Linked DNA regions of Drosophila melanogaster. The protein of the gene in region 3 interacts with the protein of the main gene of each other region in a pairwise test. Each region holds a gene or a part of one and is shown on either strand. Other genes may lie near its edges. The genes, in order: CG11357, Cyt-b5, CG14194 and CG12730.

The links.
Region 1: the proteins of CG14194 (region 3) and CG11357 interact in a two-hybrid assay, tested with the Drosophila melanogaster proteins (one large-scale study listed by BioGRID).
Region 2: the proteins of CG14194 (region 3) and Cyt-b5 interact in a two-hybrid assay, tested with the Drosophila melanogaster proteins (one large-scale study listed by BioGRID).
Region 4: the proteins of CG14194 (region 3) and CG12730 interact in a two-hybrid assay, tested with the Drosophila melanogaster proteins (one large-scale study listed by BioGRID).

What each region holds. Positions count from the first base shown.
Region 1 is NT_037436.4:4,540,312-4,545,097, reverse strand, and holds the start of CG11357 (uncharacterized protein), read right to left. Parts: upstream 3,048-4,786; 5' UTR 2,994-3,047; intron 2,979-2,993; exon of another isoform or gene 2,456-2,978; 5' UTR 2,191-2,455; intron 1-2,190. Other genes in the region: CG32243 (uncharacterized protein), read left to right, coding at 3,930-4,033, 4,087-4,175, 4,251-4,385, 4,445-4,786.
Region 2 is NT_033778.4:7,531,807-7,536,436, reverse strand, and holds Cyt-b5 (cytochrome b5), read right to left. Parts: upstream 2,932-4,630; 5' UTR 2,827-2,931; coding exon 2,707-2,826; intron 1,429-2,706; coding exon of another isoform or gene 1,342-1,428; intron 1,106-1,341; coding exon 821-1,105; 3' UTR 501-820; downstream 1-500. Other genes in the region: Gpo2 (glycerophosphate oxidase 2), read right to left, coding at 1-395. UniProt on the Drosophila melanogaster protein: Cytochrome b5 is a membrane-bound hemoprotein which functions as an electron carrier for several membrane-bound oxygenases.
Region 3 is NC_004354.4:19,191,756-19,196,567, reverse strand, and holds CG14194 (uncharacterized protein), read right to left. Parts: upstream 3,014-4,812; 5' UTR 2,737-3,013; coding exon 2,699-2,736; intron 2,621-2,698; coding exon 2,550-2,620; intron 2,145-2,549; coding exon 1,570-2,144; intron 1,510-1,569; coding exon 1,117-1,509; 3' UTR 531-1,116; downstream 1-530. Other genes in the region: CG7914 (uncharacterized protein), read left to right, coding at 3,120-4,067.
Region 4 is NC_004354.4:5,514,581-5,519,291, forward strand, and holds CG12730 (uncharacterized protein), read left to right. Parts: upstream 1-2,027; 5' UTR 2,028-2,840; coding exon 2,841-2,918; exon of another isoform or gene 2,919-2,920; intron 2,921-2,991; coding exon 2,992-3,264; intron 3,265-3,463; coding exon 3,464-3,559; 3' UTR 3,560-4,191; downstream 4,192-4,711.

The DNA.
Region 1 (4,786 bases), on a different chromosome or scaffold from region 3:
TTTCTGGAAACTTGCTCGGTTCGGCTCGCGATTTGCACTCAATTAAATTTTTTGCTGATAAAAATTAAAACGAACTAGACAAACATGATCATGGCCATTTTTTGCTGTTCTTGCAACGCTCGGAATCGCTCGCATGTAAATTAAAGAAATCACACGATGATCCAGTAAGTAAGAAATCCAGTAATAAATTAAAGTTCTCCTGCAGTGCACAAATTTCGTGGATGTCTGGTTTCTATCCATTTACGCGCGCAATCAAGAAATTCCAAATACTTGCAATATTTATAGAATGTATCCACATCAGCAAATGCGTGTGTGAGAAGAGAGGCACGTGTATGTATTTGTTTAAAATAAAAGAACAATTTGCATTATACGAACATAAACTTTTAAAGTATTTTGGTATGCCTTATCTAAACAAATTCACAATGGAAATAAGTGTTATTCTCTCGATGTTCCGCTGGTTTCAAAAAAAAAAAACAATTATCTGATAAACATTATATTTATTTGAAGCATTGAATTTGAAAGTCTCACATGAGGGGATCACATGATGAAACGGAATGAATTATTATGTTCGAGTATTAGAGTATTATATTCTAGCTGATACTAGCACATTGATAAAGACCAAAATACAATTTTCTTAAAATTATTAAGATTGGTGTGCTTATACACAAAATTCTGTGAAACTTGCTACATGCAGATTACTTTTCGCATATCTTAGAAAAGCATGAATAAGTCGAGTGGAGAAACCCAAAAGGAAGTAGAAAACAGTTGAAAGATTAAGTTGTGAGACATAAGGATGTTATTTCATAAACGTACTGTTTAGGATCGCAAATCGCTCGAAATTCGGGTATTAATAATGAATAGCAGTTCGTACGTGTCGAAAATTTCGGCGCGGCAAGGGGGAGTAAAAGAGAAAGCAAAAAGCTGAAAACGTTGACGTGACGTTACGTCGGCGGAGAATCTCGGGGTCACTGTACGGACCAATAAAAGTAACACCGCCGACGTCTAACGCCTCGCACCGCCGGTTATCAGTGGGCCAGAAGGCGCAAACGGGTGAAAAGCGGTGACAGCAGCTGATAGGCAAACAAACAGTCAAGCAAAGCGTATACAACGTTATTTTGCGCCACTGAAAAAAGCGTTAAAGCCCATTCGACAGAGACGGCCGATCGAGGGGAGATGAATGTGGGAAAAAGAGAGAGCGAGAGCTTCTCGCGGAAGCTGGCGCAATTAAAAATCAGAGCTTCGCCAACGAGCATGTGATTGAAAATTTGAAGCGCCAATGCAAACAATGAACTTTAAACTGAACGGAATGATTGTAATTCCTTATAAGCCATAGTGCTCAATAAATTAAACATTAATTTAAAGTACACGTGTTAAATGTCTATTAGCGAAAATCACACAAAAATCGATTTAGATCCAAAATATCGCCCTTAGAGATATGGTGCTATCTTAGTGGGACTCGAACACGGTCTTCTTAGCGACTTCTTCTTCAGATAACAAATCTATTGAATATGTAATAAGTTGAATACATATGACTTGATTGATATCAGGAAAAATTGATATAGAAATGGGTTATTTTTTATTGATAAGCGGTGTATCGGAACTAGTGAGATTTCCACTGTACCTAAGTGATGAGGTAAACACTCTCGCAGTCTTGGGCAAACATTCAGACGGGAGCGAGGCGCACAGAAAGATAGGAAGAGGGAGACGGAGCGAGGCGGCACAGTGGGACAGGCCAAGGACAACGAGTTGAAAAAGGCGAAAAGGAGCAGACGAGCCAAAACGGAGGACAACAAACAGGCATGCGTGCCACTGTGCCTGAACTTGTTCAAGGTCAGTCCTCAGCGACAGCGACGTGCTAACAAAAAGCGAAGAAAATTCATGTTGGAAAAAAGCACAAAAGAAGAGCACACAACAACAACGCCTCTTAAAGGCGAAGAAAAGAGCGAAAGAAGAGATAGATGCGTATATAAAAAACAAAAAAAAAAAACGCTACCCACACATGAAAGAGAGTGAGCGAGAGAGCAAGTGTCCCTCCCCGCAGCAACAATGACAACAATAGGATACTGTTCAATGGATGCTGATAAGCAAAAGTAAAAGACAAAACCCCTCGAAATCTGGAGAGATAGTATCCAAGCACTCGCATAATTAATTTCATACATTTTATGCTTTTTTTTATGTATTAATAGTCACCTGCTGGTTGTTCGCCTGGCTGCTTCCTCATTAGCCAGTCAGTCGAATCCTTGCGGGAGAGCGAGGGAAATGGCAACAAATGTGCGTTTTTAATTAATTTCCATGTGAAGCACTCACGCACACTTACACACACCCATCGCTTTGGGTAACAGTTCAAAAACAGAGTTAGAGCGAAAGAGACACCAATTGGGAGTGCTAATTCAACACACACGCGCACGCAGCACTTAATTTGTATAGATTTTTGGCATCAATTTGTTGTTGGCAGCTGGAATAAATTTACTTAACTTAACACAATTTTCAAGCTTGCACACAACCACACCAACACGAACACCTATACAGACGCGGCGAAAAGAAATGCAAAAGGAGATGAAGAGGAAGAAGAAGAAGCAGGCTGAAGGATGCTGGGCCTGGATTTCTCTTTCCTTTTTTCGCTGCCCAAAAAGGCGTTGACAGCGCTTTTATTCACTTTTAATTCATTTAACGATGGTGTTGTCCGACTTTAATTGTTTATGCGCTTGGGTTTTTTAAGAAAAACTGAATAAAAAACGGAATAACCGCCGTCACTCGTCGAAAAATTCTCGGCGCGGCTATTGTTCACTTATTATCATGTCATATTTTCCAACTGATTTGAAAGACAGTATTTTAGAGAATAAGTATACCGAGCGAGTTATCAGCGACGTGTGCAATTTTTATGCACTTTTTTAATATTTTAAGTGGAAAATAAAACACAGAGCGTTTCAGAGGGCGCTAAATTGTTTTTTGCCCGTTCGGAACTGAGTAACTGAGAAGCGTAGCGTTATTACCAGTCTTTTTCTTCTTTTTTGTTGCTGCCCCGTTCGAATTTCTCTCGCACTGTTAGCCGCTCTCAGTTGCTGTTAAAGCGGCGAAATTCACTGTTATATTTAACAGAGGCGTTGTTGTTAGTTGTAAAGAAGGGCTGTTAAGGGGAGTTGGCTTCATAAAACTTTTTGAATATTCAGAGTTAAAGAAATCTAGTTTTTAACAATATTTGTATCAAAACACATTTAAAAATATTAACATGTTCAGTATTAATATATATTATTTAAGTATAAATTTCAAAAACCCCAGGCATAAGATTTTATATACACCACTGGAATGTTAACTGAAAGCGGGAGATAGGGATGGAACTCAAGCATCGACACGCGTTTAAAATTTGGGGTGACCATTTCTATCGCTTTCTCATCTAGCTTGCCTAGATTTTCAAGATCCATCTGCCAAAATTGCTATCGATTAAAGTGCATCGGCTCAGTCGCCATTCGTAAGTTGTAAATTACGAAGAAACGCAATGATAATTGATTCAACCGATAGGAAACCTATTTTAACTTAACATTAAGATTTTAACTTTTTAAATTGCACTAATATCGTTATCAGCCAACTAAATTTTGTAATTACTTAATTACTTAATAACAAAAATTAGAATAATATTTAATTCGTTGAGTAATAATGCCTTTTATGAAACCTAATTATTTACAAACAGTCGAATGTAAACAATATTGGGGTGATCATAAACATTAAGAGATATACATTTTGATAAGTGTTTTATTTAATGTTTATTTAAATTACAAATATCCCTAATATGACTGGTAAATACATCATATTACTTAGATAGTGACAGTTCGTCAGCACTGACTATCGATAGCCGCCTTTTGTTGCAACTTCCATCTTCTACGTGCAACAGAAGAAGTTCTAGAAATAAGCAGGAATAAAAGTTTGCAAAAATGAGTGCTCCAAAAGGGGACGGAAACTTAGTTCCCACAGTCAGAGAAGTGCAGCAAAAGTTTGCCGACATCCTGGGCCATGGCAACGATATAACCTGGGATCTGTAAGTAGGATTCATCCGAAAAAATTGCAAATTATAAAGCTCAAGGTTTGCAGAATATCGTCGGGTCAAGAAAACATATTGAAGGCAAAGCTGTCTCTGCTGAATTTCGATTCTAACATGTTTCATGCGATCTGGAGTTATAGTGAGTTATAGTTATAGTAAAATTAATAATATATTCCAAATAAGCGTCATTATGTTATCTACTTTCTCATATCAGGAAAATACTCCAAAGGGCAGTCACTCACGTCTTTATTTTTTGTGATGGTTGTCAATAATGTATATGATCCCAAGCTGGCCGAAGAAAGTAGATCCTGGCGCCTGTATCCGGTGTTTCGATGCCGACGATGCGTGGGTAAGCTCGATAGTTATAAGTAAATCGAGAAATGTATTATATTTTTTTATTTGTACAAGATGAAACTGGACATTCCAGCAACATTGACTGTTGCATGTCATATGTGTCACAGTACTCAATGTCTGATTCCTGGAACCGATTTGTGACCCATACGGGGTTTGCCGCAGGTCTAATGGTCACCCCGTATCTTGGAGTTTACAAGCAAACCGATGGTCGCGTTGAGCTAAAAACGTATACTACCACTCAGATATGGCACCCAAATAAGAAAGATATACCAATAACACCCGAATCGTTGAAAAAAGCATCCAGTGTGACTAATAAACTTAGAAAAATCATCATACATTCAGTTCCATTTCTGGTTTATCCTGAAGAGGTTTTCGACTTCTGCGCCAGTGAAAAGA
Region 2 (4,630 bases), on a different chromosome or scaffold from region 3:
ATGTGGCTGCGTTCCTGCAAGGAGCAGCGAACACGCCGAAAGGCAGCCACGTCCAGACGCGAGATGGCCTGCTCCAGATCCCTGAGGCCGCCGTGCAACAGTTTGCTCGATTTGGAGGAAGTGCCGCTGCCAAAGTCATTCGCTTCCACCAGGGCGGTCTTCAAGCCCCGCGTGGCAGCATCGAGAGCACAGCCGGAACCCACGGCGCCGCCGCCAATGATGAGGATGTCGTAGTGGGTTCGCTTAAAGGCCTCCAGGCACATCTTTCGCGTGGGCAGCTCCCGTTTCATCTGTGGCACTGGAGTCGAGTCCGCTTGCCTTTCATCGAATCCAAAAGCGCCGTGGCCCAGCTTGGAGCTGCCCAGCATCACCGCCATTTGAATGATCTTGGCCATGGTATTACCCCCTGCTTTACACACCAAATTTGGACTATTTTTGCGTGGGTCAACAATATATCTGACATCTAACGAAAGCACAAAAATTTGGACGGGTGTTTGCTTGCTTTTGGAAATATGTTTAATGTACATACATGCGAATAAAAACTTATCGTTTTCGTTCCGTGCCTCAAATGTTGGAATATCAATGGGATAAATTACTTTTAGAGTCTAGAACCGCCGTCTGAAGGAATTACACGTGTAGAGGGTTGTACAAAAACGCCAAATGCCAAAAATTATCGTTAAAACTTAGCACAAATTTACTATAAAAAGCTTTCCCGCTCCACTGTCCCGCTCCTCATGTGACTCTCGGGCTCTCCGTTTGTTGATTAACTAAGCGACTCCGGAGCGGGCTGGAAAGTCTCTGCTGGGCATTGTGGCTCCTCCTATTGCTTGGCACCGCCAAAGAAGAACTTGTAGAAGAGCGTGGCCACCAAGCACAGGACGAGGGGCACCAGCCACGACTTCACAGAACTCTCCTCGGTTTGCTGTTCCGTGCTCCAGGTCGGCTCCGACTTCTGGGCCACGCTTGTCCTTTCGCTCTCCACCAGCTCACCGATTTTGTACTTCTTCATCATGTCGCGGGCATCGTTGCTGTGGCCAACGTCCTCAAAGTTCTCCGTGGCATCTTTGCCGGCCTGCTCGATGAGCACCTCTTCGCCACCGGGATGCTGTCGTGAAGGAAAAGAGACAGATTAATATATTCGCATAAATAACTGTTGGCTGATCTTGGATAAATGCTAATGGACGTCTGACCCTGAATTTCATGGACCAGACAGCAGAGGGTATGGTATCAAGGTATAAAGTCGGGAATGCTTCGAAACATTCGTTTATGCGGAAGCTTTATGGTAATATTTTATACTTCCGTTGCGTTGAAAGTAAAAATATCACAACTAATTTCAGTTACAGATTTAATTTGGCACTTATAAGCCAATAAAGTTACAGAAACTTTGATCCTAAGAACTCGAGCGAAGTTACGTTTTGATTGTACCATTATAATAATGTTGAAACTTTGTACTATAGCTTAGAGTCATGCTGAAAAAGCCGCGGAGCAAGTATGATGTAATTATTGTTATTAATTACTATTAAAAGCAAACAAGTTGTTTCGCCTCAATTGTGCTGAGTGATAAGCTAAAGTAATTTTAGCCAAACTCTTCAAGGTGGCCGAGTGCAATTGAATCGATGATAAGCGTATCTCATAATTATTTTCACAATTCTTTAAACTTTTACATAGTCCAACTTAGCCTTATCTAATTTCGATGATTATATTGTAATTACTGTGTTGGTTTATATATGACAAATCGGAACATACATATGCAGGAAACACATTGAATAAGATTCGTCAAAATAAACTGATCATGTTGAATAAATAACGAATAAACACGTAAAAAATAATCTTTAGATCCAGCAAACGCTCTAAAATCTGGAAGTCTAATTTGCGATTTGTCTGGTGATGCTGTTACGCAGATAGCAAGGTAACAGTAGCTAATGTTATTCCTTAAGATGGAAGAGGACCAAGCGGATCAGATTAGGGGCATGTTTTAAACATGGACTGGGGATGGCTGCGGTCGATAGGCGGACTGAAACTTTGGAATGGAATTATAAATTAGATGCTTGGTCACTCTCACTATTGTTATTTTCAGCGTGTACCTAAAGTGCAACGTCATCGTTAGATCGGAATTTTCACAGAGCTTATCTTAGATCCCGCAGATAGCGGGAATGCTTGTGTAGTCTATATGTATAGATTTGGTGATGACCCTACTGCTGCGTCAGGGTGATACACTTTTCGGAGCCGGCGGCAGTCGGTTTGTCGGTGGTGCACTTGCATAAGAATCCGAATTCAAATCGGAGTCCGTTAATCAAATGAGATGCAAATGCAGACGCGGATTTCGCTTAACACTTGACCCTCGTCGCCCATCACACACATATATACATGTATGCAAATGGATAGTTTCGCCATGTGGAGCTCTTTCGACAGCTGGGCGAAAGTGGCTGCTGGAAGTTTCGACGTCGCAGCAAATCTGCGAAATCCGGACGCAGGTCAAACTACCGTCCGGGGGTCAAAGTACAGACCTAATTGCCCCGCGATGCAAGTTAGAGTCGCTACATGTGGCTACGTGGGCTTGGGCTTGTGCTGGGGCTGGGCCCATTAGCTCATCGGGACAAGTGAAACCCAGATAAGGCCCAATAGCAAACGATGACCCCCATTTAGTGGTGGGAGCGGGTGCGGGGCGGTGGCACTCAGCTGCGACGTGTTCCGTGCGATTCTCACCTCGTTGAGGAAGGCGGTGACGTCGTAGATGTTGTTGTGTATGAGCAGCCAGGTGTCCTTGTTCGTGTTGTGCTTGGCGACCTCGGCCCGCGTGAAAGTCTTTGTTTCCTCGCTCGACATGGTGATCACTTGTTGATTTCTACTGCGCGTTTGATTTGTGTCACGGAAAAACTATTTGTCCAGCCTCGCACTCTTCCTCCAGGGCGCACGGTCTCACAGAACTGGTGGCCGGCGGTCACACTGGCGCGCAGCAAGATGGCTTGTTTACACCAACGCCTATCGATATCGAATAGTGACCGTTTAGACTAGCCAGATTGTTTGTGGTATGAGCACATATTTTATTATAATATATAATAGCTTATAACTTATTTATCTAGCTTATAATTTGTTTACAGCACCCAATACACAATATATCGGATTTGGAGCGGTGGTTATGCGATGCGATTGTATAGTGGATCACGGCTATTTTACCATCGACATGTAAAGAATACTGCATACTTTTGGGCGCGATAAGACCAGTGCTCCAAAGCACCTCATTAATTTTGGCGCCCAATTTGAAATGTGAGAAAACCCTTTAGTGAAATAAACGATTCAAATGAAATGTACAAACAAAATTCGTAAGCAAATTTATTTTGGGCAGACCATTTCATTAATAAAAATGTATTTCGAGCGGTATCCCAGCGAACTGGTTCCACCAGCGACGAATGCGCAGACTCGGATCTTGTATTTACACTCAAGCCCTGCCTTTATTCCATACTCGGCAAAGGAGACTTCAAAGTCAAACGTATCCTGCTGTACGCCGTGCGGCTGCGGCGCTCCTTCAATAAAAACAGTCGACACGCATTGTGAAGAGTTTTCCAAAAGCTACAGCGCTGTCCAATAGCGCAATTCAAGTTAACAACAAACTAAGCATAAATATATTGATAAGTGACGGCGGGTGTGCTTTTGATACGCAGCGCTTTTAGCTTTTTTACAAAGGTAAGTTCCTTATTACGCAATTGGCATCCTGGAGTGGCCTACGTGCGGTGGCCATTTTCTTGGGTCCGATTTCCTTTCTCTGGTATACATCCACCACTATGTTTCCTTTTCCGCTTCGCTGATGCGTAATTCAAGTGACGGGATTTATGCGTTAAAAAGTTATTAAGTTTTGCCAACTTCAATCATGCCCTTGGATCCCGATTTACGCGTGTTCTGGAGCCCCGTGGGTAAACAACTCTTATGGGGGACAATCCAAAACTGAGTCGAGTGGCCCGTAAATCATTCAGATTGTTTGTGTCTTCGGGTTATCAGCACCTGGAGATTTGACTGGCCAGTAAACACTTACCAGCCGGGGGATACCTGTGCAAGGTGTTAGGAGAAGCACCCAAGCTCTGGATTTATGTATCCATTGCGGGTTATATGCGATATTCTTGGGGTAGGCGTAATGTGATTGATTACTTGTCAGAATAGTGGAGTATAATGCCAAAATTAGGTGTGGGTTTGGTTTATATATAGATATAGTATACTTATTATAACCCATTTAAACGCAATCGACGATTGTAAATTAGTACCACACACGCACTACTGGAAAACAAGAAAAACAAAGTCGGAAACTCAGATCTTGATTGCGATCGAAGGCATTATTCTCACTCACACAAAGGCTCTAAAAATAGCCCTGTTCCTGCATATTTTTTACACCGAGAGTTCACTTCGGTTGGCCGCCAGCGATTCAATTAAATTTTATGTCTCATTGCTGCATAATTGACGACATTTTCCGTTTCGGGCGGGGAAAAGGTGAGACAGTGGTCAACATTTTCCTGGCGCGACAGCACCACTAAATTTGCATTGCCAATCCGTCATTAGACTCGATTGATTCCGCCATTAAATACAATTGACTAGAATTGACGAACAAATGTTTTCAATTCAAGCGCAACAAAAAAAATGA
Region 3 (4,812 bases):
TCATGCGATATGTTATGCAATAGTTAAGTTGCCAGTTGCACCTCGCGATCGATCAGATATATATTGTATTTGAATTATTGTTAATGCTTACACGGCCTGCGTTTAGCCCACTTTAACTATATCTATACTAATGTATAACTCTGTCCCGCTCCATTTCGATTCCCCATTTCCGATTATGTGCCTCACTCTCTCTTTCCCACACCCCCAAGAATATGTACTTCCAGTCGCATCCGATCCGGTTGCAGACTATATTCATATATTCATATATATATATATATATGCGCTTTATATATACCGCTCACCGGCTAATCTTCAATTATTTTGTCCGGCAAATGGATGGTCACTTTTTAAAATGCAACTTTTTACCTTTGCATAACTTTTTAGGCGACACAACGTAAGAGAATTAATTAAAAATGAAATGCAAAACTTAACTATGAAATACATATGTAAACTTTGTAGCTTCCTAATTGAATAAAGATAAATACAACTCACACGAATTTCGAACCATTTCATCATCGTCTTTTCATTTTGATGGAAGCACTTAAGTATATTTCTCGTTTTCACGTACTCTGTTAATTATTTACACTTTATAGTAGGTCATTACACATAAGTGGGCTTCTCAAGGTGTGAGAGATGTTTTACATATAATACTAGCACACGAGTCAAAATTCCGAATGCGGCGCTGTTCAATTTGTGGTCAAGTTGGAGTCCGATTCGGGTCTGGACAAAAGCGTGTGGTGGTCAGGTCCTGTATGCATGTATGTGCTATATGTGCTATCATATGCAGGCGGATGCGTGGAAGGGAGCATGGTGGGTGCGATGTGCTTGGTTGGTTGGTTGGTTGGTTGGACATGGTTCGTGGGCGGTGTTAGCGTTTGTCTTACAATTAAAATTCAGTACAAGTCTAAAAGCTACGACGGAGACGTGAGTGTGTAAGTGGGTATGGGTATGCTTAACAATGCCTAACATAAACACCTGAACAAAGGTGTGCGGCGTCTCCTTGTGCGCGTGCAAAGAGGCTGTCCTTAAGTCTACGCGGTTCTTGCGATTTATTGTAAATGTTGCTGTTTTACTGTTGCTCCTGTACTGCTCCTGTGCTGTACTGGCCGTCTATATCTAGTCCGGCAGATCGATGCTGACGAACGGAACCACCGGCTTGAGAATGTCATTCTTGGCCCCCTTCTTGCTCTTCTTGTCGTGCTTGTGGAACTCGTGCAGCTGCTCGCTGGCCGCCATGCTCGTCGAGGAGGACGCTGCGTCCAGCGGCATGGACTGTGCAGCATTGCTGTGGGTTTCCGGGTGATAGCTGATGTTGCCGTACTCCTGCAGGAACGGCATCGCGGACAACAGGAACTGGCTGAAAGACTTGCGGATGCCGAACCACCACATGTTGCCGCCCTTTGCCGAGGAGCTAAGAACTATTAGCGCCAGAATAGAGACGAGCAGCGGTGAGAAGACCACGATGTACGGGAACTTAAGCTCGCCGTCCAGCTTGTCGCAGATGACCACCTGGCGGAATAGATGGGTTAGCGATGCACAATCTTTTGGAGGGACTAGATGAGGTCTCACCTGAAAGCAGAGCAGTGGGAGCACCGTGCAGATGTTGCCCACCGCTGCGTTTAATGCCGCCTTCTTCTGCTGCAGCGAGACCTCCGGCGTACGCATCATGATGCCACAGAAGATGATGTTATACAATACGCTGACCAGGCTCAGGCATATGACGATCCACATGGGCACAAACACTACGTCCCAGTTCCAGTAGACAAAGCGATCCAGCTTTAGCGGCAGTGAAACAAACTGAAGCGCGTTGACCGCCAGGAAGAGCTCCAGCTCGAAGGAGCGATCGTGCTTGACGGCCCAGACACAGGCGCCCACACTAACCACCGAGCCGAAGATCAGCGGAATGAAGACCAGCACCCACAAGTGACGGTCCGAGGTCAGCTTATCGCAGGCCAGCAGCTCAAACATCAGCAGGATCAGGTGCAGGGCCAGTGAGATGAGCATCGCTTTGAACTGCGTGTAGGCATCGCCCTCGAGACGATAATGCGGATACCGACACCACACAATGGCTCCTACGATTGCGCCCAGGATGGCGGTGCATTTCCATATCCATAGCGGTGTGAAAATCGCCCAGTAGGGCCAATCTGGGATAAGGCATTCGATTAGACTAGGCTACTAGGCCAATTATAAGGTTAATGCCCTACAATAAATCTTGTTCAGTAATTAAAAATCTAAATATTTAGCTTAGATAAGTTATTTAAAATAGCGAGAGAACTAATATCCTCGTTAAGTGACCAAATTTGGATGATCCTCTATGGTCAGACGATTTCTTCGATATTGCTATATCCAATCTCATGATCTGCTTGCTAACCCTTGTATACAATAAATCTGGACTATTCTCTAGAAGAAGCGATGGTGCACCGTACACATATTTGTGTATGGGTCGTATATGCTTGTATTGTTATATGATTGTATTTTCTTGCATCCCCGTGCTATTTTAATTCTGGGTGACGTTGTGTATTCCAGAACTGCCACAGAAAAGTACCCACCAATGTAGTTGTCGAGGCGCAAGGCGAAGAGCGTGACAAAGATGAACAGGCTGCAGTGGACGATGAACTTGCTGAAAGGGAACATGGTCGATTATGTTTTAGATTGGGAACCCATGTGATCCGGTCGTCCGCAGTCGGAGGCTTCTCACCAGGGATTGAAGTCGCGGAACAGAGATTCCAGATTCATGTTGCTGAGGACACCATAGAGCTATGTCACTGGACACTTGGTACCTGGACACTAGTTGCTCGTGGGCACCCGCCGCACCGCGTCCGCTCCACGAAGCGATCTTCGCCCGAACAAGGCTGTGTGTTATGATGGAGTGGGGGGGCGGGGGCAGTTAGTACTCTACGCCTGGCGCCGATCTTTCACCCCTTTCCCTGTAGATATTCTGTTCTTTGTTTTATTTACACACTTTTTTGACTGGCATTTCTGTCCCGAGATTCGATATCGATAACTCTTGCCTGCTCTGGCGATTGGCTTGACTAAGGACTAGCCAGATGTCTGGCTACAATTCGCCAGATTTCCGGCTACGCTAGCCTGCTATCGATAGCCTCGATAGGCACAGGAAAATGTTATCTTATTTGGAAGATTTGAAGGAAAACGAGGACCAGCTGCGGGATTCAGACTGCTGCGGCAATGGCTGCACCAACTGCATCCTCGACAACAAGCCACGGCCAAGCAAACGCGTCCTGCTGGCTGGCAAACGCAACGTGATCCTGAGCTACACGAAGTTCCGCCTGTTGCGGCGGGAAGCGCTGGGACCCAATGGACAGTTGCTGCTCCTGCACTTTGCTCATGCAGCAGAGGAGGGGGACGGCGATGGAGCGGTGGACACGGTGCTTGACATCCCGCCCGGCCACCATGTGATGCTGCGCGTCGGCTCCCTGCTGCGTCCGTATTCGCCCTATTGGAGCGACTTTGTGGCCAAAGAGTTCCGTATCCTGGTGAAGCTGCAGCCGGAGGGGCCAATGTCTCGGCACCTGCAAGCCGTACAGCCCGACGATCTGCTGGAATTCCGTGGTCCCATCGGGCAATACGTACACGAACCGCAGCCGGCCAAGTGCATCTATATTATCGCCCAGGGAGTTGCTATTGCACCCACTCTGCCGCTGGTTCGGCAGGTGCTGGACAACGAGGAGGATATGAGTCGCCTGTGGCATTTGGTGTGCGCTCACGACCTGCTGCATGTCTACTTCCGCGAGGAGATGCTCGAGTTCGCCCAGTTCTGGAACTACAGGAGCTGCCTCTACCTGCCGCATCAGCAGTGTGACTCCTCCGCTTGCCAGGAGGCGGGCCACTGTGCCCAGCAGTGCCCTCAGCTCCGGGACAATCTACGCTACAAGGAGACGGCAAAGGTGTCCCGATTAGATGCCACCGAACTGGCCACCCACCTCAATCCCGCGATTCCCGGACAGCGTGTCCTCATCGTGGCTGGAGATTCAAGTTTTCAAAAGAACATCGCCCAAATAGCAACACAATCATTGGACGTAGATCCGGCAAACATTTATATGTTGTAAATGCCGGGAAAAACTGTAGTTGCTTATAAATATTTGAATATTGTTAATGAATTTGTGATCGTACTGGTTATACCGAGGGTTTTATATTTTTTATACCCTAGATTCGTTGAAAAGTATGTAACAGACAGAAGATATACATATATTCTAGATCTGGATCAATAGCCGAGTTGTTCTGGCCATGTCCGTCTGTCCGTATGAACGTCGAGATCTTAGGTACTATAAATGCTAGAAGGCTATCACGCCCACTCTAACGCCCACAAACCGCACAAAACTGCCACGACCACACTTTTAATAAATGTGTTGATATTTTTTCACATTTTGATTAGTCTTCATTAATTTCTATCGACTTGCAAACAACGTTTTGCTACGTCCACTCGAACGCCCAAAACTGCCACGCCCACATTTTTGAAATATTTTTAAATTATTTTATAAGTCGTGTAAGTTTCTATCGATTTAAAAAAAACTTTGGCACGCCCACTCTAACGCCCTAAAACCGCCCAAACCTGCCGCGCCCACATTTTTGAAATTTTTTTTGGATATTTTTTAATAATTTTATTAGTCGTGTAAATTTCTATCGATTTACAATTTTTTTTTTGCCACACCCAGTCTAACGCCCTAAAGCGGCCATAACTGCCACGCCCACACTTTTGAACAATTTTTATTCCCCAATATCTATCGATATACCAGAAAAATTCAGAAATTTCGCGTTCGCATTCACACTAGCTGAGTAAAGGGTATCTGATAG
Region 4 (4,711 bases), about 14 Mb from region 3:
AGAATGGCGGCAAGGACATCCTGTTGCACTTGGCCCATTTGATTGATGACGTTGGCACTTGAGTGCACACGATAATCATTTATAAGGCGCATAAATGTTCTGTTCCCCGGGGGGGAAAAAGCTGGAAAATCCGAGGGGGGAAATGGGGGTGGTTGTCAGCTGGCGGATAAAAAGCGCCCAAAGTCGAAGGGAATATCAGATTCAAATTCACTTGGCAGATATGCTGAGGTCGTTGCTATTTTTGGGGTATTTCGGGATTCGAAATTAGGGGGGGTGGTCTTGGTCTTGTCACGTCAGCTGCAGAGTCTGACAGCCACTGCACGAAATTTGCATTCAAATCGAGCCGTGTATCTGGGCAACTTAGTATCTGTATCTGACAGATACCCAGCTGGCACACTTCTTTGTCGAGGTTGAGAAATGGCTACGGCCCAACTTGCCGCTTTCTTTCGAACTTCCTTCAAAGTGCCTGAAACTAATTATCTGCCTGCTCGCAAACGTTTACTCCAACTTTCGTTTAATTGGTCATAGTTATCGCCAAGTTTGTCATTATTAAAGATGCTTCTGATGCATCTGAAACTGGATTTTTTCAGCCAGAACACTGCTTAATAGCTCACATGTCGCTTTGCCTTTGGTCCTGCTCCACGTTATCCCGTCGCCAAAGCAAACAAAATCTTGCTGATGCAGCAGCTGGCAATTACAGCGAATGCTTTTCTAATTAGATGCACCCACATTTTCCAATTCCCCCCGGCCCCGCCCCCCTCTCTCTCCGCTGCTCTACAACATGGGTGGAAAAGCGATGGAAATTGCCTGAGTGCGTAAGCGAAAAACCAGCCATGTGCATGAATCGTAGGCGAGATATATCACTAAACAATGCACTCTCAGCAACGTGCCACTGAGTATAAGTTGGATATTTAGTTAAAAACTATTTAGATGCTTTTGCTGTTATTCAGTGGTTTAAAGCGCACATTTATAAAGTCCTCTGTGCACTTATCGAATTCAAAGTCCTAAAGAAATCAAAGAAATGTCCATAGGTAATCATAGCTTTTTGCCATTGAGACTCGCACGCCCTCAAGTGTAAATCCGCTCTCCAGTCAATTTTCTTCGCTTTTCCGCCGCACATTTTCCCCGCTTGTCCAGACGATTCGATGCTTATCGATGAGCGCAAATCTCGTGCCTCCCATATTTATGTATATATATATGTTTATACATATATATGCATGAGCTTTTAGAAATCATGTAGACATTAGTTGCCCTGCAGTCGTCTGACTGTTTGTTACCCTCGAAATGGAAACTGCACTTTATCGCTTAAATTGCTCAAGTGCAGTTCATTTATGATTTTCGTGCTCATTTCCGCTTGTTGTGGCCGATTTCCGTCGCATAGATATCTCACTCAGCATTTTCCGCTCTGCATTAGAATATGTGAATCTGTGAAACTGTGAATGTCTCTGAATCTCAGTCAGTCGAGGCGATTGTGCAAGTGACCTTGGCCAGGAGGCGGGGGCCACCCATGCGGCCATTTCGTAAACGAGCCACCTCTCATGAATATGAGTCAATTAATATAACTCAATTTGATGTCGGGCCAGAGTGTTTCGACTGCTACCCTATACAAGTATCTATGCATTTTCAAGAACTTTAACAATTGAATGTGGAAAATAGTACATGAGTAGCGAGAAATCAAAATTAAATGAATGAAAAAATTGTATCTGTAATATCTTTGTAGCTTTGTATCATAAAATTTTTTTCTTTTGTATGGAGTAGTGTGTTCAAAGTTCGTCAAACTTATCTGGCCACCAAATGGTTTGTGTATATTCACGTATTCCGTATGATATGTGCTGGGCAGCTTGTGTTTTGCAATGTGAATCACGACGAAATTGCATTTGATTTTGGGAGGCTCGCATTTGCATTCGCATTCGGATTTGTGCAGCGATTTATCCGTTAAGTAACTAAATCAATTAGCCTGCTGTGCCGATTAAAATAACGAGAAGCGTTTCGGTCATAGCCGATAACAAATACGATTCGAATGGCACAATCTAATGATGCTGGGCATTAAGATACAGATGGAAATTCGAATGCACAGTGGTCCAAAAAGGGCCCAACCTCAAACTGCATGTCACAAGCAATGCCAGTCATAAAAGCTCGGCACTTCACACGACTAAAAAAGCTTTGCTCACCCAGTAACCGGTCACCTTGCCTTATGAATATACATATATTTAATATATCCCTGGAGGTCAGTGAGTCACACCGTGTTAGATTCACCCCTTGACATCCCCCGAACGAAAATTAGTATAATGTAACGAAGAAGCATTCACAATGAACAGACCCCCAAAACTACAGTTAGTAAGACAAGTTAATATGGTTTATTCATTTATTGGAAATTACAGCTTTCTTAAACTAATAATCCTATTTTTTATAAATACCCAGCTAAAGCTAATCTCCTTAATATTTATAGTTTCATTAGATACCATTTGAGTAGATAACACAATTTGTACACAATATGTACTACATTTCCTGATCGTTTCGTCCCACTGTGCCATGTGTTGCTCGCTCTCTGTCTCTCTCTCTCTCTCTCTCTCTCTCTCTCTCTTTCGCCCGCTGCTTCTCTCGCTCTCGCAATTGTAGTTTTATTCGCCGAGTGTAACGATGGGAGAATTCTGAGTATTTGTGTTGTTTGTATTACTTCAGTGGCATTCTGTGCGTGCTGGCGAGCGCAATATGAATTAGTCAGCGGCGCTTCGCTACATTTGCTACATTGGCTTTAATCGCTCGTTTCTGAGGCATCTATTCGGCTGGACAATCTGGATTAACTGCATCCAAAACGTATATATCTTGTATTGGCCGCGATGTCGTTGACGGGAACCCAGGACTACGATCGCAAATACCTGCTCAGCATGCCGGGCCTGTGCAAGCTGGCCTGTTTGGTAATTAGCCTTACACATATGTGCCATTGTGTATCGCCCTTAATGTGTGCGCTTGTATGTGTGCGTCTTTCAGCTGTGCAGCTTTGTTGGAATATTGTGCATCATCTGCGGACCGGTGCGCGTGAGCAATTTCCGCGGCAGTTTCTACCTGGCCGTAGTCACCATCGGATTCGTGGCCACCGGCTGCCTGCTCCTGGCCAGGTATCTCCGGTTGTGGCAGCGCCAGTTCTGCCGATGCGATCCCACGCTCTGGTCCCTGGCGGTGCACTCCTCATTGGCCCTGGCCTACTTCACGGCCTCCGGACTCGTACTCTCCCTGGATATTGGAGCCTATACGGCGGCGGCGGTAAGTGGCGTTCTCGCAGTTAGGATAAGTTCGGAAACCAAAAGTATTACGGCTCATTGTTTCGGCTAATGATTAAGCTAGGAAAGATACTGGTAAACGAAACACTGAGCCTCCAGTTGGAGCCGATTCATTCCCTCGCTGTGATGAACTCTCTGTAGATCCGTCTAATACACCCTATTCTTCACCTTTTTTTTTACAGTTCTTTGGCCTGACAGCATTTTGCATCAACGGACTGGAGGCCTATGGAAACTATCGGCGCAGTCGCCAGCGGGAGGTGGCCACCCAAACGATATAGACTTGGTTTCAGGTGCACGAACCCAGCTTTTGGTGGCTCTTACTACGTTAGGCTTACTCTGTGTGTGTATCTGTGTGAGAGCGAGTATCTGTGTGCGAACGAGTATCTGTGTGAGTGCCAGTGCGTGCGCGTGTGTGTGAGTTTGTTTTGAGAGAGCGAGTATCGCTTGCGTTTGCTTGAAGCATTTAAGTCTGAAGTTTGAAATTGTGGCAAGCTTTTGTCGCGGGAACAGTTACCGTATGTGTTATCTAATAGTCGCTAGATATAGGTCAAGAAGTGAAGAAGATAAAGCCAGTCGATCGCAGCAATAACGTAGATATAATAGCGAACAGAAAGCGAGAGAAAACCACTAACAAGAGAGCAAATTCCAAAGAGATAAGTTGTATTGTGCCTTCTGGCTCTGCTTCTTCCCTTCTTCTGATAACTGGTTAACAATGCGTGAATATATATGTACATATATATACCCGATTTTTTTTTTACTTTTATTAAGTACATAGTATTTGTGTGTCTCAAGTGAATATACATTGAAGTAGTTAGTTTTTAGCACAATGCTTTTCATGACCACTGAATTGTTGTATTTATAAACAAATAAATCGTTTGCAATGGAAGAATAAAACAAAAATACATAAATGTAATTTGTAAATGAAGGGTGTTTTTTAATGATGAGAGTTCATATGCGTAAATTGGGCTTGAATGTCAATTGTTGATCGTGCATATTGTTATTGATTCATTTACGCAAAAGGCCACTTTCCCGAGGCTATTGTTTATTTATTTTACTACACGAACTACTTTTGCGACCATGTTTGCTTGCACAACAAGCTATTTTCACCTAACATTGCCGGATAGAATTTTTGCAACCGGCGCTCCATGAAAAAGATATCGCCAACCTTTGTTTACCTTATCCGCATTGAAACTGAAAATAAACAGGTACACTATGGTGCCCCCCTGTCTGATTTTGCTTCTTGTTTCGTTTTCGTTTTGGTTTCGGTGCTCTGTAAGCTGTTGCCATTGTTGGCTTTTCAAATCTTTTGAACCACCCACAAACGCAACAACCATCATCACCCAACAAGCAGCACCCAACGCCCACAAAAAAGCACTTGGCTCGTCTATTGTTTGTGTTGTTTTTGGGGGCTCCCGCCTCATTATTATTAC